Linked DNA regions of Drosophila melanogaster. The protein of the gene in region 1 interacts with the protein of each later gene in a pairwise test. Each region holds a gene or a part of one and is shown in the gene's direction. Other genes may lie near its edges.

Region 1 (7,764 bases):
CACCATTTATCCTTAAGGTAAACTAAATTCCAGTTCAATTACCATTATCATTTTAATTAATTTTTGCTTTATTTCCTATTAAAATCAAAGATAGACGCATTTCTTTACCTTTTAATGTTAACATTATTTGAATAATCAATTTAATGAAATATATTCAAATAACGCTATGGCATTGTTGAGATCCAAAAGTCGACCTTCTCTGTGCAAATCCACGGGTTCATCACTCCCCTGCCTATCAGTACAGGGTATGCAAAGCCAGTCGAGTCGAGTTGAGTGCAAACAATGCGCACAATAAAAATAAATCTCTCCGGAACAAGTGTGTGTTTTGTTACACCCGTGGGAAGTCCGAGTGAGAAGTTGTCAATTACTTGCGAATCGATCTGGCCAGGCTCTGTTTTGGCATTCATGTCACCGCCAGGTGAGCAGGACCTCCTCGAATAATCGCCCTAATTGGCGGCTTCCAGAGCAGATGGGAATGGGAGATGGGCGGGATGGTACGTGATATGCATTTGCACCTTCTAGGCAATTAATAAGCCAATTCCACCAAATCGGCGGCCACGTAAATCAGCATTATGTCGGCCCAATGAAAATGAGCTCTAAATTCAATTACAGTTCTTGTCTTCTCCGCTTTCCCAAGTCGCTTTCCATTCCCGCATAAATCAGGAGTTCTGGGCCGCCTGCTCCTGAGATGCCAAATTACCCGGGTCCCGAGATGTCTTAGTAAATGCTAAGCGGCTTTGGCGCTCATAACTCACCCGGACACTTTGTCACATTATGCATTTAAATTTAATGTGTAATTTATGGGCGGCTTTGTCGACCTTCCCGCCTGCGCTGTCTGTTAATTAGAAAATCGGTTTGGAACAGTATTTCCAGGGGCACAATCTGGCAAGGAAAGCAGAAAAGTTGAACTACATACAATAATATACAAAAGAATATCCAAGAAGTTGCTTCAAATTGTCTTTCAACCAAGCTACTAATAATTACACTTCACATTTTCTGACACAAATTGTTATTGAAACAACAAAAGCTTAACATACCTTGCTTAACAATATTAGTTGCCCCATCCTTTGAAAACTATTTTCAGCAACAATGATATTTACCCTCCATTCCCAATCTTCGCTCTGCCGTGATACTTGGGGGGGTGCTCATTAATTACACTCCATAATGGTTACTTCCGCTGGGCCACATAATAGCATAATTAATCGATATTAAATGAACAGCAGCAGGACAATAAACGCCGGAAGCCAGCCACAAAAGGTTAAATTAAACGAAGTAATTGTTACACAGCCTCAGCCGTTGAAACTCGACCCCCTCTGGCCGTTTGTAAGGTCCTGAGGAGGGTTGTCCTGCCTGGGTCCTTTACAATGCATAATAAACAGTCGAGCGGGCACGGAGCAAACAAAAGTGGGGAACGAAGCTCGTTGAGATTTTGATTTTTAAACGGCACGTCGGGGGGTGGATGCGCTGGCTGGCTGGTTGGGATTCAGAAGACAAGGCTGTAAAGCGCACAAAGTCACACGGCAGGTGGCGATGAACATGGGAAGAGTGGGTGGGTGTCTCGGCACACAAAGTGATTTAAATGCATTTCTAATGGGATGAAATTATATACTGTCTGAGCCAACACAAGCTCTCTTCAACTCCATTCTCATTCCTACTCTGATTTGCGGTTTTCAAGGGGCGGACATAAATATGCATGAATTTGCGCTTTTGATGTGCTAGCCATAAAGAGTTTATTCCCGAACGGGACCACCTTCATCTTAAGCTAAGTGCCTTTACTTAACTTTAAATTAAACTGTACATTTTTTAATTAAAATTGTCCCATAAAATAATAATTAATGCTCTTAGGAGACACCGTCGTGATAATTTGATGGCCAGCTAAAGCCGCTTAAAATAATTTCAAAACACCAATTTGTGACTGCCCCATTTCAGGATTCACATTTAGCATCTTATCAGAGCTTAGCAGCTGGGGTCACCACCCGTCCAGCTACGGAATGTGATTACAGCTTTTGGCGCTCCGCCTGAAATTTCAGCGGTTTCAAGTGTCCATTTGGCGGCGCAATATTTAACTCCAAGTTTCGAACACCAGGACCATAGGTATAGCGATGCAGATGCTTTGAACGAGCCCTAAACTCTTCTTCTGATCCCGGAAAACTGATTATTTCGTGAACCAAGTGAGGTTCGGGAACATAGAAGTCATCGCCTAAGGTAAATGATTATTTAAAAAAAATGATTTGGATATTACACTGAATATTCCTTTAACATACCAGGTAAGACGAAAACCATAGAGCCCTGGCAGTTATAACCAATCGGCAAGAACATGGTCGTTCCCAATCCGCTGCGCTTGATGGCAAATTCCAACAGGGATTGATACGCCTTAATTCCCATCAACCGGGACAATTCGTAGACCTGTGGTGGCATGAACCAAACATTGCCCAAATCAGCCAGTCGCAGCAGTTCAACGGGTGTCAGCCACTATATACATAAATAACTCGTTTATTGTGAATTTGGGGTTTAAAAGATAAACCTTACCAGCGTTTCCTTGACCTCGGAAGGTTCTTCCAGCAATTCGGGCTGCTTGTCCACAAAAGCCATGAAGAAAACGGTTTCATGCCTATTAAGTGTAATATAATCTATATTAGAACCAAGAACTTTACCATACTTTTTTTAGATTACTAAGCAAAGAAATTAAGCTTTCATTTATGATTTTTTTGTGACCCCATACCCACCCTTTGCGTATGAATCCTGGACTCGCCCAGGCAGACCACTCATGCAGAGCCCACAAATCTGGAACTACATTTAGCTCGCGGCAGAGAGTTAGAAACTCAGCCGGCTTGTTGTGCACCCTTCGCTGCCACGACTCCAGGTCTGGAACAGCCTGAGCGCAAGTTACCGCACCAAAATCCAGTTGACTCCGACTCCGGCAAAGCAACAGACCCACCTCTTCAAAGCATTCCCTCACGGCGGTTAGTCGCAGCGTAATCTCCCTAAAAAGACAAAGGTCATAGATTAAACTCCCAATGTGACAGAGTTTAGCGCAACCTTTGGACTCACCGAGCCCAAATGCGGGAACGCTTAAAGAACCGATCGTAGCAGCCAGTGCCCTGGGGCGCCAGAATGGCAGGACGATCTTCGCGGATGAGAACCAGGCGGCGTAGTGCCTCTTGTGGAACACCAAACTCCTCGAGGTAGTGCAGCCAGGCGACGCTTTCATCGGCCCCAGAGTCCAAGAGGCCACCGGGAAATACAGTCTGATTGAGCGCAATCGCCGTGGCATCACTGCGTTTTAGCATAAGCACCTGAAAGGTCAGGATTATGGTTATCCGCTTTTGGAAATGGCCTCTTCACTTTCCTTGTAATCTTTGTTATTGCCATCATCTCTGGACACCAGGATTACACTGGCCGAGGTGCGCCACTTGGTAGGAGATGCAGGTTGGCTCATATCTGCTTTTATTTAGCCAAATGAGTAGCAAAACTGTTTAGTTCCATCCACAAAGAAAACGAAATCAAAAGGTTGTTTTGTTCCCTCCAATCAGCTGATTGGTCGATAGGCACGATAACGACTCCTGTGCAAAAAAAAATCGATCGATAGCCGCCTAATCAAAGCGCTGAATATTTGAAGTTTGAATTCGTGCGAAATTCAAACTTTACCTTTTTGGTCAGATTACCATGCAGAAGCGAGCACGAAGAGCAAAAAACCCAAATAGATTAGTTCCAATCCACACGTGTTCGCAAACATATTTAAGCTCTGCCCTTGGACAACAAAAGACACTTGCAATTGGTGTTTCCAGTCGAAAACAACTTGCAGTTGAAATGAAAGTACTGATCACGTTCTTCTTTCTGGGCGCCTGCCTCTGCGGCATCCAAGCGGATGAGAGCATCGCTGACCTCTTGAAGGACAATGCGAAGGGCGTACAGGCAGCCAATGTGCTCCTGACCCGGATTGCCCAAGTAAGCGAGCAGACTCAGGTCGGTTTGGCAGAGCAAAAGGAGGCACTGAAGGCCCTGACGCTCGTGGAGAAGCTGCTAGCCAAGTTGACTGTCGTTCTGGAGGTTGGCTCCCACAATCTGGTGGCCACCCTTGAGAACCTCTCTAGGCAGGGCGAGGAATACGGCAATCGAACGGAGTCAGAGCTCCTGGAATTGGTGCGTCTGCAGGAGGGCACCAAGGAGATACTCAATGTCCTGGAGGCCAAGCTGGATGCCTATCAGAGGCACGTGCTCCATAGTTCCCGCAACATTGACAACAGCATCGACGGACTGGCCAAACTTATTACTAGGACGGTGTTGCCACAATTGAATGGGCTAAAGTGTACCTTCGATAGCTTGGAGACGTCCCAAATCAACGTGGAGGTGGAGCTGAAGAACTTGGCCGGAGTCAAGGAGCTCAGCGAGAACTCCAACTTCAAGCTGAACGTGCTGGAGCATCAATTGAAGCAGCTGAATCGCACTCAGGAGCAGCGCTTGGACATCCTAATCGATGCAGTCAAGCATTTGCAGCCCCACAGTTCCTGGAAAGTGGAGGCTGTTCTCCGCGAACTGATCATCTCGCAGAAACGCATCGAACTGGGTCTGGAAGAGTGCAGCCGACAACAGCCCTATCCGCAATATGGCCATCACGACGAGTCCTATCTTCCCACCTACGGAGCTGAGGTCCCAGAGCCGCAGCATGCTCATCCTAAGCCCAAGCAAGTGGATCTGGAACAGGTGTGGAGCATCAAGGAGGAGCCCAAGCACGGTAAGTGGTCCTTATTGCCACCAGATTAGGATCACAAATTAATGGCTTGTCGTTCATAGGAGAGCACTCTGGAAACCACAAAGCTACCGCCTATGCCCAGTCCCCCGAGCCAAAGAAGAACTATCAGAGCTCCAGCGCCGTGTCCTGGCGGCAGACGGTGCCGTGGGAGTACGGATCCCCATACCAGTCCGCTCCAGTTCACCACCATCAGCCATGGAACCCAGCTCCGGCCCACGTTCCCACCTCCGTTACCAAGCCCAAGCCGTGCCCCAAGAAAGAGCACCCTACTCCGGCATCCTATGTTCCTTTGCCACATGACCAGCCTGAATCCTACAAGCTTCCTGTGGATTACAGTCCCAAACCTAACCACGAGCAACCTCATAAGCCCCACCACGAGCCACAGTCTTACAATGAGGAGATCTACAAGCCACAGCCCATCCAGCCAGGAGAATCCTTCAGGATTTGGTATGGAGACAGTTCCCTCCCCCAAGGATACTAAAGGAAGATTTAACTGGGACTACCACTGTTACTGAAACTGATACAACTTTTCAAAGCATTTAACAAACTCTTTTTTTTTAATTCAGATTCATTACTTTGTACAATTTTTATGTTTTATAAATAAATAAAAAAAAAGCAAAGGAAATACATTTTTGATTATATTCCTAGCAAGTAATTAATAAATAACTTTTGAGAAAAAATGCTATAGTTTCATGGAAATCATATGCATCAACTTTTAGCATCGTATGCGAAAATATACATTCAATTTCCAAAAACTTTTCTCAAAATCTATTCAAAATATACGAAGAAATTTTTGTTATTTTGTATGTTTTGTAGGTAAATAAATTCACCTTACTATTAACCTATGCTATTGTTTGTTGATAGAAGCAAATTTTAAAAATATTTTAAGCTTTTTTAAAAGTTAATAGTAAAGGATCCAAGTTTGTTTAAATTTGCAAAAGGCATCTTGGCCAATTTTTGAATAGGCATGATAATATGAAGGATAATTAATTATACTGCTGTTTTCGAAATAGGAAACAAAATATAGACTTATTAAACTTTTACAAAATTACTTTAGTTCGCTTTATTACTTTATTTCTTGTAAACGATAGACAGTATGCCCGAAAACATTTGTTACGTTATCATTACCTTCGAAGACCTATTTTCTGAATGAATTTGAACAAGAAGCAGCTGGGGCACGTTTTTCAGTGGTGTTATTACTACCGTAGCACACAAAAAACCGGGTCAATCTGTTCTGTTTAGAAACAAAGAAGAATTTTGAAACGTGACACTACACGGATTTTCCCTAACTTTACCAAGATGTCGATGAACCAATAACTATTTAGTACGACTACATGCAACATAATTCGCTTTAGTTCTTTCTTTTTACAAGATGATAAAACAGTTGTTCGCGACTATCTTCTTAGTAGTAGGGAAATTCTCGTAAACACACTATTACAGATTGGAGCAGCATTTGCACCTGCACCCGCTGAAGAGAAGTGGGTGGTGACCGAACTGATAGAACTTAACCCAGTCTAAGACACGTTTTGGACCTTAAGTTGGGCTACTTAAGTTGCGGTTCGGATCGAAAAGAGACACTCAGCGGGGAGCGGCCATCAGAGAAACACCATGAGAGTGCGACTGACTTTGCTAACGATATGCATTTACCTATGCGCGGCTGCAGCTGAGGATCTGGACTCCATCCATGAGATCCGCAGTGAGGTGGAGGAGCTGATCAAAGGTACGGAGGAGCTAAACCATGGGCTGCAGAAAGTGAAGGACGTGCAGAAGGGCATTGAAGAGAAGTTCAAGCATCAGCGCGACGAGATCGAACTCATTGCTGGATTGGAGGTTGCCATAGCCAAGCTGGAATCGAACGTTCAAAGCAGCTTCCAAGCCACGGCCTCTGGAGTGGGAAATTTGACAGCCATTGTTAACGCAATCCAGGGTCAGAATGAAAACTCTATTAGGAATCTTACCAAAGTGGAGCTAGAAATCAGGAAAGCCCTGGAACAAGTGGCTGCCAATCAGAACAAATACGAGCAGAACCTAAATGAAGTGGCCTCATCCGTCAACTCGCATCTGTCGGAGATTCAGCAGCTGCTATCACAGGCCGTCATAGGGGAACTCATCGGCTTGGACAATAAAGCGAAGGTCCTCCAGGAGCAGCAGCGCAACATCGTGGGTCAAGTGGGATATCTGGGCGAACTTAAGGCTCTGGCAGATCGTGCCAATCGCAAAGTCAATCAATTGGAGTGGGGTCTGGTCATTCTCAACCGCACTCAGTCCGAGAGCCTCAACAGCATCGAGCACACTGTCCATGGAGTGCAGGTGGCCACCTCACAGGTCGATCATAAACTGGCTGCCCTACTGAACAATCAGAAGAACATTGAAAGGACGCTGGATGGCTGCAAGCACAAAAATCCGTCACACCAGAAGCCCCACGAGATCTGGACTCACCCGGAACACGCACCAATTTACAAGTAAGTTTGTATGCCCTACTTCTGGGTGCACACTAAAACCACTCTTTTCATTTTAAGGCCAAAACCAGAGGGCAATCAAGGATACGAGAACGTCTATGCATCCCAAGAAGAGGCTGAATACCTATACAAACTTTGGTATGGAAAGGGCCAGTAGCATTAATACGAAAACTGAAGATAGATGTTTTATGCCATATTCAGAAATTGCTTGATTTCCTATATCAAATCCCAGCATGTCGATTCTATCTATCTTATATAATTGTATATTAAACCGTTCTGTAACACAATGTAATAAACAAGAGTAAATGGAGGAAATCGAACTTTATAAGTTGTATATTGCTAAAAAGTGTTATGTCCAACTTTATATATCAATTGTTGGAAAACTTATAAAACTAGATAAATGCACCTGACATAGAGGAAACCGGCTCTACCTCTATAATTTTGTTGGATCCAATGGATGAACCTGACCATCATCCCGCTCAAACTTAATTATCAGCTGCGACTGATGCTGGTTCCAGTGCTCCGATCGATGTAATTTAGCATTCGTCTTCG
Region 2 (8,722 bases), on another chromosome or scaffold:
ACCGCAACGCCTCCTGCCGCAACTTTTGCTGCCACACTATAAATATAACATTAATTTTTATGTTTTCATATTTAGCAACGCTTCGCTGGGCAGACAAACACACACACACATAGTCGAATACCCCGAAGCAGTAGCGCCCATAAAGATATGGCCATTGAATGACGTTTATGAGCGATAACGCTGACGTCGCCGCTGCGCAACACTCACTGTTAAGCGGTTAGCAGTGGCTTAACAGCGCTTTTCCAGCAGCATCCACAACTGTTTCGTTTGGTGGGAAAACCTCTGCTAATGCGCCGCGGTCGCTGCGACTGCGACGCCGGCTGTGGCAGAGGCTGCTGCGTCGGCGACTTCTATTGTCATTTGGCACATGTGAAATTTACCGTTACTTCTTCGCTCATTCATTCGCTGTTTACATTCGGATTCGAAGACTTTTTCCAATCGCGCGCGACTTTCGAAAATATATTCCATTTGAATTTTCGATAACATCCGCGCCACTGTTACTTCCATACGATCATAGAAAAATATATTTGCTTGTTAAAATTTTCACAAAGTATTTAAAAAGTGAGAATATATGTAAAAATGTTGAAAAACTATTTCTAAAATTCTTATCTAAGAAAAAAAGCATGTAAAAAGAAACGCGTGGAAAACTTTTCGTTTCTACCTAATGCGTTTGACGTTTTTTTAATCAAACTCACTGCACTATGTTAATTAGCCAAATATGGTAATAGGTAATTAAAGCAACCCCCTATGGGGTGATGTGATTGGAAATGGTAAAGAGACAGACACTTCATATCCACTACACAAAAAAAACCAACGACGAACTTTCAGAACCGCGTCGATAGTCGAGTGGATCGGAACCAACAAAGTGTTAAGAAATAAAATAATGAAGATACAATGCATAATATGAACTGTGAAGTGCAAGGACCACACAAAGTGTTCATAACGCAAACAAAATAATAATCAGTGTATATCAGTGCAAACAATACTAACGAATTCCCTGGAAAATCGCAGCAAAGTTCAATTAGACCTACCACAAATGAGGTGTAGACGCCACCGAGTTGAGATCTTCAGACATTGTCTATACGTAGACCAAATCGAGACTTTTGCCATAACAACAGCAAACATTGGGTCATGTAATTCCCAACTGCTCGTATAATGCCCTGGTGTTGAAAGTGTAGAAAGGGCGTATGGAATTTGGGCTTAATTTGATAAAGACTTAAGTCAGAATTTCCGCTTTGGAATTACTCGATCAATGCACTTAAAATATTAATTTAGTTCAAGTGGAACTACAGTCTTACCTAATTATCATGAATTTTCAATAAATACGACAACTTTTATGATCGTTTATTTCTAAAACTAATTAGTTTTTTATGTTGCGATGGTTATTAATATTTCTGCTCGCTTAATTCGATTTTTTTAAAATATTTCTTATATTTAAATTATATAGCCAAGGGACTCCTGTTTCGGTATCCGAAAATAGCGATTACAGTCAGGCCACTTAAAGATTAAAGAACACTGATCATTATCTGGCCAAGCGATAGTTGATAGATGGGCTGGCCCTTCACGCCTGCCAAAACCACAATAGACACATATGTATGTATTGGTGTATATATATATGTACATATGTTTTCCTAAACTCACACTCGACAAAACTTGAACACACGGCACGGGGCTGCAGGGCGATAAAATGCAGTGTCAATTGAAGTGCTTGATTAGGCGATTTGCGAGCGATTCGCCAGCGATTTCCAACGCCTGCAATTAGAGACGGCGGCGCACTGCAAAATATACAGAATGGTTGGCAGGGGCGTTGGTTTGGTGGGGGTTTTCCGACGGCTCTGTCATTCACAAGCATCGCGGGGTGGTGCTTGAAAAATGATTTACACGCGCAAATCATAAATTATGCCCATTTCAAGTGGACCGTTACGCCGGAGAATCCATGACAAATGCAGATGACGCCCAAGCACCGATGACGATGGTGATTGCAATGCAATCTAATGGCTGATATGATGGTGATTGTGATTGCGGGTTTGATTGAGATTTCCATTGGTACTGGGATGCTGCTAGTGCCGATAATTGTTTTGAAGATGACGCATTTTAAATGACTGACCCTAACCGAACCCATTGTCCGCTGGCTGCGATTTTTCACCGCCTCTTATCATCGACGTCAGTCAACGCAACTCTAACCAAGCCAAAAGCCAATGAAATCAAATCCACGACACTCCAGTTCAATTTCGAATTTCACACCACTTTCAATCGGACCCACACCTGGTTTGATTGAAAGCGGCGACACTTTCAATGCTAATGAGCTGCGATTCCGTTTACCAATCGCCGAAAGGCATTTCAGTTCGCATCGGTCTTCGCTGGGCATCACACCGTAAAACCTTCCGGGTCCCAAAAAAAAATCAAAAGAATTAAGTATATTCAAAATACCTATTTGATACCTGGATATAGTTTCGGTGGGCCCATGCAGAACGTCACGACTGTCGTACGATTATCGGCACAATTCTCACGTCCGGTTGTCCAGCTTAATTAAAAAATATCTTTGTTTTTCGCACTGATAAACGCGGTGGCAACGCAAAAAGGAAGTCTAGATACATACAGTCTGAAAAACGTATTTTCGTACAGTACGATGTTTAAAAGTGATCTCTGTGTGCTGATTGTGATCTCCTTGGCGTTTTCCTTACATTCAGGTTGGTACTGTAGAAAATAGGATTTTTTCCGAGGTCTGAAACTGCTCTTAATTCGGAGCCCTTAACCACTTATTTTTAATTAGACTTTAATATCAGATTGAATAATTGGCTGACCAATTACATGTACATCTAAGTACACTTTGTGCGATTACCCTATATAACCTTTGTTGGTTCGCAAACATCATTCTCAAGTTAGCACTTGAGTCCTTCTTTTTCTTTCTCAGGGGATATTTGCCCAACTTGAGTATAAAATAACAAAACGTATTTTTAAATTAAAGTGGATTCTTGGCATTACGACAAGATAATTATCACTACTTATTCAATATATTTCCACGGAATTCTGTCTAGTTGTGAAATCAGTCGCAATATTCCGAAAGTAGTATGATCCCTTATCATAAAAAATACTTTAATTTCTAAGGCGTAGGTTTATAACTTAAGAAATGATTGATCGATTCTTAATAGCTGGGATTCGTTAGCATGTTGCTTTTGTTTTTTAAATAAATTATCTCAGTTGAAGAAGCATTTAAAATTCTTGTAGTTTTTAAACAATGCTTCTGTAATAGTTGTATCTATAGATCGCCCAACGATTCCTTGCCCAATCTATCCATTCACATCAACGTACGCTCCATTGATCACTGATCAACTGGTTTGCCTTAAGAGCACCTTGTACGTTAGTAATCTTTTGGGGAGCTAAGAGTGGAATACAGCATCGATTAAATTCAGAGAGTGCTCCGATCTGCCAGATCACTCTTTATGTATCTCTTCGACGGGGTCTGGTCAGTTTCTTGTCAGTTTTGATAAGGCCACCTTAAGACGGTGCAAAAACAAGCACAATCGCAAACGACAGTTACTCTCGGCTCTCGAATTAAAATCGCTGGCGATTCGCTTAAATTTGCAGGCCAATTCTCTAAGCGAATTCAGTTGAAAAAGGCGCGTTGTGCGAAACGGGCATCACAGTTTTTTGCGGTTTATTTTCAACTTAAAAACCAAATAAAAAACACAAAAGAAACAAACAAAGCGAAATAAAAACAAACCTCATGTAATTCAAACATTCTACAGATTTAAATGCAATGATCTGTTTCTGAAATAAATTTGGAAAGACGCGATTAGCACGTGCCGCACATTCGCAGACACCTTGAAAATACCGCAAAAATAAATCAAAATAAAAGGCAAAACTGATAAGAGTTTATTTATCCGGGCGATTTGACGCGTGCTAGCTACAAATATCGGCAACAACAATATTTAATTAATTTATTTGCGCGATCGGAGGGGGCGTGGCCGTCCGCTCAACTAAATTTTAAATTATACTTCGGCTTTATTAATTGCCAACGTCAACAGAAACGTTTTTGTTTCTCTATAAAAATTAAGGGAAAACTTGTTTTTCTTGCTAATATACAATTATTATCAAATATTTTACTTATCGTTTATAATTTCCATATTTTACTCAAAATAAATGTTATTTCTCGTTAAGTACATATATAATTATTTTCAAAGTTTAATATATAAATGAATTTTCTGTGTAATTTTATGCGTTGCTTTTTTTCTCTCTTCGCATTTTTCGGTGATTTTGTTGTTGTCCGATATTTTTGCTTAAATTTTTTTTTTTCGGCCTTTTCGGTTTTTGTATTTTTTTTTAGCTACGTCGCGTTTTTGTGTGTCGCACGATTTTCAACCAGTTTCTTCAGTCTTCTCATCTCGAAATAAGAAATGTGAAGAGAGACGAAAGTAAAAGAGAATTGGCCGGATCGTGTGTTTATTTTATTTTTTGGCTGGCAAGCGATTCTTCCAATGTTTTTGCGTTAATGCTTGCGTTTATTTTTACGTTGACGCTGGTTCTTTTGGCCATTTCTCTGATTAGATAATCTCTGGCGAAGATCTCACGCTTCCTGCTTAGATAATCTATTCAACCAGGGTCACCAGAAATCACCCCACTTAATTTTCCCCTATCGAATACAGTGTCTATACAAACCTTGTAAGATCGAAGTGATAAAAGTGTGAAAAAAGCATTAAACAGACAGCATAAATTAAAGCAAAAGAAGAGTGAAGGCAAGCAAAATACCGTACCATGGCCATAGAGTCACGCTCTACGAGCACTGCAAGTGAAACCACAAAAACCGCCATAAAATCAACCACAAGCTCAAAATCTCCAGTAACATTCGGTAATCTCGGCGAGAAAAGACGCGCCGAACAGCTGTTCCGCTGCGCATGCGCCAACTTCAATCTCCTGCTCCTGACTTTAATGCTCGGATTCGGCAAATGCTGCACTGCCACGCCCACGCCGCTGAACACGCCCTCAACGAACACGCCCACCTCGGCAGTTAGCCCACATAATCCACAAACGCTGGACGAGAGCGGATCGCTGAGCAAGGTGATCGATGGCAAAGCCTTCATCAACATGGGATTCAAGTTCCTCAACGTTTCCGGAAAGATTGGCACACCCCTCGGCATAGGTGAGAAATGCATTGGCTGATTGAAAAAACCGGCGAAAATAGCGAAAAACCAGAAAAAAAGATCGCACAAGGGGGGGCACAAAGTGCGATGTTTGTTTATAGCCTAGCTTGTGCTAATTTTAGACCACAGATGTCGTCGAGGTTGAAGTCGAAAATGAAGTTTGGATACCCTGGCTTGGGGTATATATAAAATGATTCATTTAATCTTTTCAACTTGATGCCTATTTACAAATATGTAAAATGAAAAAAAATTTGTATTAATAACTGCGTTGTAGAACAAAGTAAAGTACTTAGCTTGAGCTGATAACTTAAAATTAAAGCGCGTGCAATCGAATTACAATTTAATCGTTAAAGAATTATCAACCAATGCTAAGAAGCTTTTCATTAAACTTTATTAAGCTGATAGTGTTTGAGTATTTAGTTATTAAATTATCCCCAAGCCATTGAGCAATGTAAACGATTATTTCAAAATATTACATTATCTTCGCAACTCCAAGCAATCCTCTTTGAATGGAAAGTAAGCAGTTTTGACTTATATGAGTCAATAATAACATTTAAGATATATGGCCTTTCCATTATACTGCTTAATTTATAATCATCACAATCTTGGTCACAAGGGTATCACCTGCATGTCGAGTCATTCAAATGGCTTTGCTCACTTCACACTTCGTGCACTTAAAATGGGCTCAGTTAAAAAGATACAGATACAAGCACTAATGCAGTTGCAGATACAGATACAAAAGTGCACCTTCCACTTGTTGCACACACACAGACGGTATGCGGACCTACTGTTACCGTGGTATCGAAATAGCCGAGAATTTTTTATCCACTTCCGCATTGATTTCCGCCTGGCTGACCATCGAGAATCTGTATCTTCTAATGGCTAAGCGATAGGAAAAGCGTTTGGCGTCTATCTGTGACGTTATTTTGTGGCGCGGGGCATTCCAATCATAAATCTAACTTTAAATCTAGCCACCTGTTTTGGCCAATATGGATTTACGTTTAGTGCTAGCCCCGAACTGGGGATTATCTTATCGGTCAATTTTACGATTTGTTTTTATGCATTTTTCGACCGCCGGGATTTCGCGACTTGAAGATAAGTGGACAATAAAGGGCAGTCAGACAATAGAAATTTCCTTCTATAAATCAAGAATTAATGGATTGATAGTGCAAGGAGCTTTGAATTGGTGCCATAAGTCATTCAAATGATCTTGAAAACATATAGATAAAAGAATATGAAGTGTGAAAACTACGATTGTTATAAATTAATATTTAATTTTTAAGACGTATTAGAGCAGTTATCCTAACCAAAATAATTTATTTTTATTGTTCACACATTTTGGTTTGAAACTATTTTTAAATAGCTAAATTTTTTAAGCAGTTCGCACTTTTGAAAATCAATCAACATATTGAGTGCCAAAAAATAGTCTTAAGGCTAAATCTGCCACATTTACTTGCATTTTTGTACTTTGCTCTTGGGAATCTTGGACTTTGCTCTATATATTATAAATTGTTGACAAAAAAAAACACACATTTTCTTAAACATCTCACAAAAAAACAAGGCGCATTTCAGAGATATTTGTATCAGAAATTGACGTAGTTCAGAAAATCGGTGCGCCATCCTACTGCGATGCCTAATTTAAATTTAAATATAATTTTTTTTTTTTTGGCTTTTCAGTATGCAGTGTACTAGGAAAATTCACATAAATATAGACCGAGTCGAGCCCCCAATTCTCAGTCGATTTGCGTTGTAATGCTGCCCATCAAGGGGCATTATCTCTTTGATATTCTCTTTTTCCCTGCTGACTTATTGTTAATTCCATTTGATTTTTCACGCTTGAAAGTTGCTGTCAGATAAATTAACATATGCTTGATATGATATATGTACATATGTATGTTTGTTTGTGCATATGTATATGTTCGCATCTATATGCGATGTGGCAAGGTCGCCGAAGAGAGGCAGAAGTTGATTCAATTTTTATTCGTACGCCCCATTTCGATTCAGTTTTTAATTTATTCGCTGTGCCAACAGATTTCTCTAGCATATAGAACTAGCTGGTGCCAGAACCGATGGCAAACAAACAATAACAAATTAATAGTGGGCGTGCTCATCTTACGTAGAGAGAATGTTGATGCAGTTTAATTGTTTTGTTTGCTTACTGTAAACATGTTTTGATTGATTCAACTATTCTTGGGAAATTGTTGATGCATCAAATCATTCTCTATACGGGCCGCATCCCCCAGGAATCACGTGTTTTGTCATTCCATGTATAACATTAAATTCATTCAGGCAATTATCAATTATCAGGTAATCCATTAACCTTGATTTTGACGCAATCGGGGCGCTGAGTTTATCAAAGGCTGTGCTCCCAGTTGAATTAATATTAATTAGTGTTAAATCGGGGAAAAAGAAAATAATGAACTGATTTCGTTTTTTTCCCAGCAATTAACACCTTGCTCAACCAATATAGTCATATCAGTTTTTCCCACAGTTATGATTACTTCTTAGTCTAATATGACCATGTGATAAGGGCTTATCAGCAATTTTTTGGCACGCTGTGTCTATTGCTTTTTATTTTTGTTTTTGTTATATACTAAAAAATAATCGTATGATGATGACAACTTGCAGTTTCTGATTTTCGAGCGGCGAAGTGAAGTTTATTGGGTTAAGCCAACCGGATTGTGTGTGGACTTGTTTTCGCCTCTACGATTAACAAAATCATTAGCTATGCTAAGCAGTTTGCCTATCGATATGGTTTATTTATTCATAGTCTCGTATTGTGTGTGAAGTTTGGCCGAAGTTGGCGGCAGACAGGCTGTTGTTGCCCATAATGGTGATATTGATCTGGTTTTTCGATCTGTGGGGTGTGTCCGCCTCATTACGGAAACTCGGTAATCAATAACCACCGACTGGTTCAATTTAGTCAAACTCAATAGGTTTAGATTGTGACAAGAAAGCAAAGGAACTTAATTGATAGGTGGCAACCGGCTGGAAAATCTATTAGTGGGTTAATTGATGTGCAAACTGACGGTTTAAATCACTTTTCAAGGATGTTTTCTGAATTCATCTTGAGTTTTCTAGCAAAGTTTAGCAAAATTCTTCCAAGAAAAACCCTTATCAATCTCAAGCTATGCTAATTTATTTAAAGGCGCGTTCAGGGTCACAATTTATAAGTACTTATTTCTGTTTGCCTATTTCTACTCGTAGAACCTCCATATTATTATTTTTTCATTATCCTATTCAAAATCCTTCTGTGAGCCGCAAGCTAATATTTATTTTTGTACTTTTTCATTCAAACACCCGCCGCATAAGGCAAAGGAACTCATTCATCGTCATGCTTGACGTCATTTGGAATTATTTCAACGAAATTCCCCCATCTGCCCCATAAATACATATATGCATGCATTTGCTCGAATTATAATTTGCCATTTTGTTGACTGTCATCATGTATAATTGAAAACAATTCCCGACCAGCCAGCGCGGCGACATGAAATCGAATTGATTTGACCTTATTGATTGACGGCTGCAAATCGGAGATATCCCATTGTTTATTTTGCCACACGCACGGCTCCACTTCAATA
Region 3 (9,555 bases), on another chromosome or scaffold:
TTATTTATTGGACTTGGACTCGGATGCATAGTTACCGAGAACCCGTTGGCCGGTAGGATCGAATGGGCTGCGCAAGTGACAGTCGGCGCGGTATTTCTTGCCCAAGATGTCCACCTCGTACTCCCCGTTCCGAATGTAATCAGCATCGATGATCTTGCCATCTGGTCGGGACACGTATGTCTGACCGAGGGACTTTCCAAGGGTATAGGCATATTCAGCTCGTCTAAGTATGCCCACGGGCTCGCCATTTCGGTAGACTCCCTCCAAACCCCAGATGGGCACCTGATCCCGGAGCGTCAAGTAGACCAGTCGCTTCTTTAGGCCCTCAGCTCGCTGATTTTCGATGGCCGCCTTGCCACGGTAATCTGCACCCGTTTTGCGACATGTGAATCCCAAGCCAGCTTCCAGGGGCGTGTCATCCGGTCGCAGATCGAAGCTCCATAGATGATAGCCTTTTTCGCTGCTGAGGGAGTAAAGGGAACGGTAGCCAGCATTGCGCAAATCCTCTCCAGCTCCCGCTTTCATCAGACTCCGATAGACGGCAGCACAATCCTTCTTGGGCACATGAAGCTCGTAGCCCAGTTCTCCCACAAAGCTGACCCGCAGCAAACGGAGACCCACATCACCGAATTTGGCTAATCGAGTGCTGTTGGGAGCTACGTGCTCATCGGACAGATCACAGTCGATGAGGGGCTGCAGGATCTTTCGGCTGTTTGGTCCTTGAATAGAAATCACACCCAATTCGGCAGTCAGATCCTTGAGGCTCGCATTGAATCCTTTTCGACGGATCTCTGCCAGCAAAACACTGTAAGTGTAGAAGGCAGAAGCGCCGCCAGCCACAATATAAAAGCCCTGGCCATTGATCTTGGGATTGTAGACCTCTCCAGAACCGGGAGCAAGGCGGGAAATGGTCACATCCGCCTCCACTCCGCCGGCATCGTTTAGAGCACAGGTGTAGACAGTTCTAAAATGGAAGTGGTAATTGTTTAGAAAGGTTTCTAAATTTGTATATCTATACATGGATCTTACTTGCTGGGATCCCTGTTGGTATTGGCGGAGAATAGCCAGTCAGCGGCCTCCTGGGCCTGTGGACCATCTAGAAGCAGCTTGGCGAAGTAGCTCATGTTAAAGACCACGGCGTTATTGCGACATGCCAGGGCCTCCGAACCGATCTGAAAGATATATATCATTATTTTGGCTTTCCATAAGCTACTTAGCTACCTACGAGATCGTGGTACTCCGAGAAGCGGCTGTAGTGAAGATCCCCATCCAGAACTCTCTCGTACTCGCTGTCCTTGTGCCTCTGGTGGACATAGCTTCCGTACCAGTCATAGGGCTGAACCACCGCCTTCTTGGAACCGGTGGGCAGGAAGAAACCAGGCCGTTCCCAACCCTGCTTCTCCTCCATTACGGCGCCTGCCTTCATCATCTCGTCGTGAAGTGGATCCTTTTGGAAATCACGACCCGCCAGTGGTTGATCATACTTGAAGACCATGCTGTAGTTCTTCACGTAGCTCTCGTGCGACTTCTCCCTAATCCACTGAATGGCTTTGCCCTGCTCCTGGGTGAATCTGCGCAGATCGAAGCCAAACATGGGCAGGTCCGGTTGACCTTGGATGACCCACAAGGCGGTCTGCTCTCCGCAACCACCACCAAACATCATGCCCGCTGAATTGAAGCCACAATTGTGGTAGAGCCCATCTAGGTTGGGATCCGGACCCATCAAGGGTTTGTGGTCGGGTGTAAAGGATTCCGGGCCACAAACCGTGCTCTTCACGCCATATTTCGCATAGCTTGGACACAATTTCTGGGCTCCCTCGACATGGGTCTCGAACACCGACCAATCCAGTTCGTAGAGTCCGAAATGGAAGTCCTTGGGCACGGGCTCCAGCAGAATGGGATTCGGTTCATAGCCACCCATGCAGATGGCATCCCCTTGGATGCGGAAGTAGGTGGAGTAATCGTGATCTCTGATATTGGGTAGACCTCTAACACCCGGAATGGATTCAGAAACAATATAAGCATGCTTCATGGGCACAAGGGGAAGATGGGTGCCGTGCCGGGCCACCAAATCACGACCCCACACTCCTGTAGCATTCACTACCTTCTCAGCTTTGATGTCCCCGAAAGGCGTGGAAACACCCACCACCTTCTTACCCCTCGCAGTCTGCTCCAGCAGTAGATCATCCACTCCGCAATTCTCGATTACCTGTGCTCCGAGATTAGTGGCTGCCTTTTTGAGGGCCGCACACAGCATCGCCGGATCCATGACACCATCACCCGGAGAATAGAGAGCGCCCACAAATGCCGACGGATCGAGGAGGGGAAATAACTTTTGGGTGTCCTCCGGACTCAGCACTTGGTTTTCAATACCCAAAGCTGAGCCCACAGTGGCCAGTCTGCGATACTCGTCCAGTCGCGTTTCATTGTGAGCAATGAAGATGCCACCATTTTGAATCCATCCCGGATCCAGCTCCGTTTCCTCCTCCAATTGCTGCAGCATGCGACGTGAATTAGCCAGCAGCTGAATATCCACATCGTTGGGACGCAGGCGCCACAGCAATCCAGCCGTGTGCCAGGTGGTTCCGGCCGTAAGTTGGGCGCGTTCCAGGAGCACGGCCTTGACACCACGTCGTGCCAGGTGATACAGTGTGTGACAGCCCGCCGAACCACCGCCAATAACCACAACATCTGCTGCGCCTGGCAGGAATCCACTTGGTTCCCTTCGAGCTCCTCCATCTTCCCTCACTTGTTTGCTGATTCCACGGCGCGAAGCTTGCTGCAGGATGCGATGGCGCCACATCTCAAAAACGGCCGAGCGCGACGACTTTAGAATCTCAACTGAATTCTCGAGTTAAAAACACAATACCGCCATAATAATCTCCCGCTGAATTGATCGGATAACCCATGGTTCAGCATCCTGATAAACCTGCTGTGCCAGTGACGTTCCATCCATGACTGGAGGCCCTAATCAAGGCCACGTTTTAGGGTCACAGCACGTTTCTTATCTGGGTTCGGAGGCGTGGCAAGTAGTAAAATTAGTTAGCAGCTACGTAGGTCAAAAAACAATTTAATCTGAGCAAATTTTTAGTTTCAATAAAGATGCGGTTTAACAGATGCTTCTTGCTAATATGTTGTGGTTTCAATTAATCCATTCATATAAATAGATTTATTAAACTCTTGCTTTTCTTTTAAAAGCACTTAAAGAAAACGTAAATTCTATAGATTAAACAAAGTGTTGCCTACATATATGTACATATATTTTCGAGTATTTTCATTTCCCGCAGAAAATTTGAAAAGTCAAAATCGTTCTCGGAACTTAAAACTCCCCACATAAGCAATGAAATTTTGGACCCATACTCAAATGCCAACCATCGCGGCGACCCCAAACAGGATACGCAGTTGAACCCCAGGATTATAATCTCTTCCGATCTGCCATTAATGCCTATCTCCAAATGCACTGCGAGATCGAATACCAGGTGGTGCCATCTGGAGCCGGAGTCTTGGCACGCTTCGCACTCGCCCGTCGCACATCCTTACGGCACAACATCCCCACTCCAACGCCCGTAGTGAACCGGATAAACCGAGCGTTTCATTTTGAATTTTCCCGCAGACCGACGGAGGAACACTGTGTGGCCAATGTGGTGGCAGCCAGAAGGCAAACAACCGAGAAAGAGACCGCCGATCGCACCATGTGTCCGGATTCCTCCGCCAATTGGGACTGTTTGCGGAGCAGGCACGCCCACCAGAGGTGCCAGAAATAGACGGAATCTGGAGAGCTGCAAACTGCGGAGCAGAATGCTCAAAAAGGAGGATCTCCCCGTAACCCGTGACAGAAGTGCTCTACGTGCCACGCAGATCGGACGTATTCGACTCACAGATTGGTTTCGGTTCGGTGCGTTTCGATTTTAAGTGAGAAAACTGAGTGATTGGAATTTTATATCCAATTTGAAAATATTCGAAGTGATTCTTGTGATACCACCAACTTGTTTTTGAACAATGCCACGCAAGAAGCGCAGTTCCAGCCCCACGGAGTTCTTTGATGACGACTTCGATGAGGATGCCAGTTCTCAAAGTGAGTTCGATTTCAATTTATAGGTGATTTTGTACTTATATTAAAAAGATGTATTATAAACGCTTAAAAACGTTGACAATGTAAATATGTTTAGCTAGTTTTGTAAATTTATTATTTACTTTAAAGTAAAATTCAATTTCCTTAGAATTTTTTAAATCGAACTTTAGAATTTACCTTAAAAGGAATGTTAATTTAAAATGCGTTAAGCTCTAAATGAAAATATAATAATAATGATAAAAATTATAATAACAGAAAGCACAATAGATATAAATTGAGTTTAAAATTCATACTCCATATGCTTTTTGAACTTCATACTTTGCGAAGATATCTATAATGTAACTTAAAACTTTTGTGGATACCAATAAAACCTTTTGTTTCTAATTAATCTCTTGTTATTGGAGCTCCTTAAGATGTATCTACATTTCTGATTTTCCAGGCTCCCAACCGCCGGTGCAGCGAAATGCGGCAAATGCCCGGGAGCGGATGCGTATGCGGGTTTTATCCAGCGCCTACGGACGTTTGAAGACCAAGCTGCCCAACATTCCGCCGGACACGAAGCTCTCCAAGTTGGACACGTTGCGTTTGGCCACGCTCTACATCAAGCAGCTAATTACGGCTGTGGAGACAGGCAGCCACTCGCAGAACCACCCGCACAACCACAACCAGCACCACAGCCTCAACCACAGTCACTCGAGTACCACCAGTTCCGAAGGCCTGGACACAAGTCACATGGCAGATTCGTCCGGTGGAGGCAATTATAATTTCCACAACAACGGACACGGCATGGTAAGTGTCATGCAATTGCGATCCCCCTGCCCGAATATAAGTGATGTCACTGCCACCACTTAACGATGCACTGCACCCGCGGCTCGGGGGAACGGGAACGCATTAATGAGCCGGCCACTTCAGGTGGATCTCGTCAGTTAATGACAGGTGTCGCAGGGGATGCCCAGTGATATGCCCAAGATCAATGTTTATTCATGGATTTCAGTCTAATTGAGAAGTAATGTTCAGCCGATCGGGATTCCCATAAGTTTATGTCTTTTTATGGAAAGTTTGGTATTGGGAATGAAAATTTTTCTTTTATGCGTTTTCTTTGAAAAGCCATTAAGGAAATAAAGTAGGTAGATATTTGTAAATTTTGCTAGTTGAAATTAGCCTTTCGTAGAATTTTAACTTAGAGATCGTGGAAAGTTACACGGAAACCCAGGCTTCAGTGTTTAAAATTTAAAAAATTGATACTATTACAATTTAAACGTATACGCAATCTATTATTCTCATTTTTTTTTTAACAAGCAACTTAAGTATTTAGTAATACTACTCAACTTATAGGGGTAATTCAACGCAATTTTAGCGAAATATAGATCAAAAATCCAAAGGAATGTGGTGCAACATCTGCTTGGTGATGCGGACGCGATGCGGCGACAAGTATTTCCACCTTTTCTAGATGTGGAGGTGAACCACAAACGTAACCACATCCACATCCCATGACCGGAGTCAGCCATTCAGCCGGGCCCCCCACTAGAACACCGAAATCACATTTTGTGATTTCAGACTGCCTTGCTTTCCTGTAATCCGATACTTTTGTGAATTTCGAAAATATTAAATATGAGTGACAGGCTGTTGGTGGAGCGGGCAGGGAACGGAGATGGTAACGCAGACCTGCGGATCTGGATGGGGGGCACTAGTTAGTCTTTGCTTTTATTTTTTATTTTTAAAGATGCTCTTGATGCTTTGAAGCGACACAGTGAATGACATGCGAGGGAAAGTGTCATCCTCAGTAGTTTTCCCACTCGGATTATTGTAATTAAAATTTGTCTAACCGTGTTTATCCATCAGCCATTCCCGCTGGAGTTTACACAATCTATCACTCAAGATTCATGGCGTGCACAACTTATCTAAATAGATGCAATTGTTTACACACCGAATGCGTGAAAAATTCAGCAAATACGGCTCCGTCTTGTGCCCATATGGTGGCAAATCAGATCGGATCGGAGAGTCCCGACCCTATCCGAATTTATACCATCCACGCGCCCAAGATGATCTGTTGGGAACAACCCATTGGTTCGCTATTTGCTCGCTAGCCCTAGCATCCCTATATCCCATTTCCAATCCCTCATTGTATGGCATACAAATGAGTGTCTCTTGTCCGCAAGTGTTTGGCTGTTTATGTTTTTATAGATCCGTTAATGAGGCTGTTATTGTAGATCTAGACGTGGAGGCGGGGGTGGGCACTAAAAACAATCAAAGTTGCGTAAACAAACAATGGCGCTGTCTCGGGATGGGTTGTCGTCATATTGTTCCATATATAGCCCCTGCGGTTTCCACAACTCCTATGATTTATGCCTGTTTTATCCACACATTCCACATTATACTGTCTTGCAGAGCTGGCCCTTTGAGTTCCACCAGAGTAGCCGGAGTTTGGCATTTGCCCCATCATCATCAACCACCTCATCCGCCCGTATGGATTGGCAAACCCTGCATACGCAATCTTATCCGAAGACTACGCGAGGCGAAACCCATGTTTCGGCGGATCTAAGTTACCATCAGTTGCCGGAATCTCACAGTCACTGGTATCCGGCGGAAGTGCATCAAATGGAGCCAGCGGCCAGCTGTTCCTATGACTCTGGAATGGGGCAGCATCAGCGGGGCATAGCTATAGCCACTAGCCATGCCCATGGCATTTAAGCGGATATTATAAATAATGTTCTGACCTAAGCCAAATGAATTTACCACCTAGTAAGTGTATTAAATCGTGATTTAATTTTACGTGTTTCCGTATGTGCAAGCCTGAACCTATGCTATAAGGCCAAAGATTGGTGTTACCTCATGATCATTTAGCTAGCAAATATATCTATGTTTTTAATAAAATTGGAATTTTTGAATTTTTTTGAATTGGCGCCAAGATTATGGTGACTGTATCCCTGGAGTTGTCGAGTGCTGCCGTACTTGTTTGTATTTTGCAGCCCTGTTCAACAGCTGATTTCGTCACAATACAAACAAAGAGCTGCTAAAAACAAAATTAATCTATTAATTAAGGCGGAATTCAAATACCCTACTTTTTTTAAAACGGCTAATTTGAGACATTTTAAAGATGTTATTTATGCAGAAAGATGTAGTGAATTTGCATTATTCACTTGCAAACAAATTATACGAACAAAGAAGCTTATGAAAGCAATCTTATTTAAATTAGAAACAAACTGAAAGAAAACGCCCAAGTACTTTTTACATGCAGTGTATTTATTTTGTGTATTTACTCATAAATGTAGCCCAACAACAATGGCGTGAGAATAATGGTTGTGCTACAGACTATTTCAACACAAAAGCGAACTTATTACATGTGTATTTTCGCGGTTAAAGTTCACGTCGTTCGAGAGCTGGCATCGATGATTAGATTCGGAATAGCTGGATCAGATCAGCAGTCCATAATCTCAATCTCCTCCACTGGATTTCCTCCACCAGCACTTGAGTGACCGACTGACTGACCACTGAGCGCAATTCGCCTTTCCAGCAACAATCAGTCAGTACGCGATATTCAACGAAGACGGACGCTTTGCGGTGGCTCGTTAATCCATAACCTGTTTACGTGACTTGAATACTGTGCCGCATAGCAAAATGCCAGCCAAACCAGTGAATCCCGATCTCCAGAAGGAACGCAGCACGGCCACCTTCAATCCCCGGGAGTTCTCCGTTCTGTGGGCCGGCGGCGAGGAGCGATTCAAGGAGAAGAAGGCCCTGGGTGAGTTAGCTTAGAAGGGAAAAACACCGGATTTCAAGCTTCTCCGGTGACCCCGACAGACCTACATGTACATTCACATTAACCGGTCGCTCAGAGCTTTATCTGAGCTTGGCGCAATCGCGTTTCCCAACAGTGGATGCAAGAAATTGTGCCAAAAGCATGACTTGGCAATTAAGCTAGGCTTTAACGCATTTATAGCTAATCTGTAGGGTACAAACTCTGATGCTAGCCATGTCAGCCACTGATAAATTATCCAAAACATCCTGTCAACTTCTTTGTTTTGATACGCTTCTTCTCCGTCCATTCATTCATGCGATTTGTTGATTTTGCTGCACGCCGTGGCCCAAAGTTCATTAATTATGTATTCCGCATAAACAAGCCGCTACTAGTTAATCAGCACCTATTAGCCAGCTCATAAGTTATTAATCTTTGAACTTCGCGCGAATCGCGATCAATCCGACTACTTGTGTACTTTGAATGTTTGCAGCTACCCACCATCTATTTCCAGGTCCACTTGAAATTAGTTTAGCTGATAGGTTTATCTGACAGATTTGCACGGTCGCTCAGGGCATCATAAATGGACAATGCCCAGTAACTCCCGCGAATTAACGAAGAATACTTTCCACTCATGATTACGCTGCAAAATTCAACAATGCTTATCTAAATGACACCTCCTAAAATATTAAATCCCTTTCCTTATGGCTTCATTTACATTAAATTTCGTTTATGATTTTTCCAGAGAAATTGTTTTTGGAGGATCCAGCCCTTCAGGACGACTTGCCCATTTCCTATTTGTCACACAAGGAGCTCTATGAGCACAGCTTGCGCAAAGCCTGCATCATAGGAGAGAAGATCCGCAAGCTACGTGCTGATGGCGAGGATGGAGTGGATACTTACAAGTAAAGAAATCCTTATATTTAATGTACTTCAGGTTGTAATTTGTGTGCTTATAGTGCTCTGCTTGGTGGATCCTTGGGATCGGCTATTCTAAAGGAGGGCAATCCGCTTGCGCTGCACTACGTGATGTTCGTGCCCACCATCATGGGCCAGGGAACGATGGATCAGCAGGTGGAATGGCTGAGCAAGGCCTGGGACTGTGAAATCATTGGCACCTATGCCCAAACGGAACTGGGACACGGAACCTTCCTGCGCGGTCTGGAGACCAGGGCTGACTACGATGCCAGCACCCAGGAGTTTGTTATAAACACTCCATCACTCAGTGCATACAAGTGGTGGCCCGGTGGATGTGAGTTTTCTTGAACACTTAATATTTTGAAATTGTTATAAAATCTGGGACTTGCAGTGGGACACACTGCTAACCATGCGGTTGTGGTGGCACAACTCTACACCAAGGGCGAGTTCCGTGGTCTGGCTCCTTTTATTGTCCAATTGAGGGATTCCGATACTCACCGTCCCATGCCCGGCATCGACATTGGAGATATTGGTACCAAGCTGGGCATGAAGGGTGTCAACAATGGCTATTTGGGACTGAAGAACGTACGGGTGCCTTTAAACAACATGCTGATGAAGAACCAGCAAGTGCTGCCCGATGGCACATATGTGGCGCCGAAGAATAGCGTGCTTACCTACGGAACTATGGTACTATTACACATATTCACTATATCTTCACAGAGATTTTAACCATTTTTTCATTCAAGATGTTTGTGCGTTGTGCTCTTATCCGTGATACCGCTCAGAGCCTGGCAAAGGCATCCACTATTGCCACTAGGTATTCAGCTGT

What was found.
Region 2: the proteins of CG13084 (region 1) and LpR1 interact in a two-hybrid assay, tested with the Drosophila melanogaster proteins (one large-scale study listed by BioGRID).
Region 3: the proteins of CG13084 (region 1) and HLH54F interact in a two-hybrid assay, tested with the Drosophila melanogaster proteins (one large-scale study listed by BioGRID).

Annotation. Positions count from the first base shown.
Region 1 is NT_033779.5:19,481,163-19,488,926, forward strand, and holds CG13084 (uncharacterized protein), read left to right. Parts: upstream 1-3,767; 5' UTR 3,768-3,810; coding exon 3,811-4,735; intron 4,736-4,794; coding exon 4,795-5,234; 3' UTR 5,235-5,370; downstream 5,371-7,764. Other genes in the region: CG13083 (uncharacterized protein), read left to right, coding at 6,362-7,215, 7,273-7,369; CG10194 (uncharacterized protein), read right to left, coding at 7,646-7,764.
Region 2 is NT_033777.3:25,755,210-25,763,931, reverse strand, and holds the start of LpR1 (lipophorin receptor 1), read left to right. Parts: upstream 1-3,609; 5' UTR 3,610-3,729; intron 3,730-4,646; 5' UTR 4,647-4,755; coding exon 4,756-5,140; intron 5,141-8,722.
Region 3 is NT_033778.4:17,753,576-17,763,130, forward strand, and holds HLH54F (HLH54F), read left to right. Parts: upstream 1-3,829; 5' UTR 3,830-3,999; coding exon 4,000-4,075; intron 4,076-4,511; coding exon 4,512-4,861; intron 4,862-6,460; coding exon 6,461-6,763; 3' UTR 6,764-6,942; downstream 6,943-9,555. Other genes in the region: Sardh (sarcosine dehydrogenase), read right to left, coding at 1-964, 1,030-1,172, 1,226-2,803; ACOX1 (acyl-CoA oxidase 1), read left to right, coding at 7,691-7,814, 8,554-8,713, 8,768-9,060, 9,118-9,413, 9,473-9,555.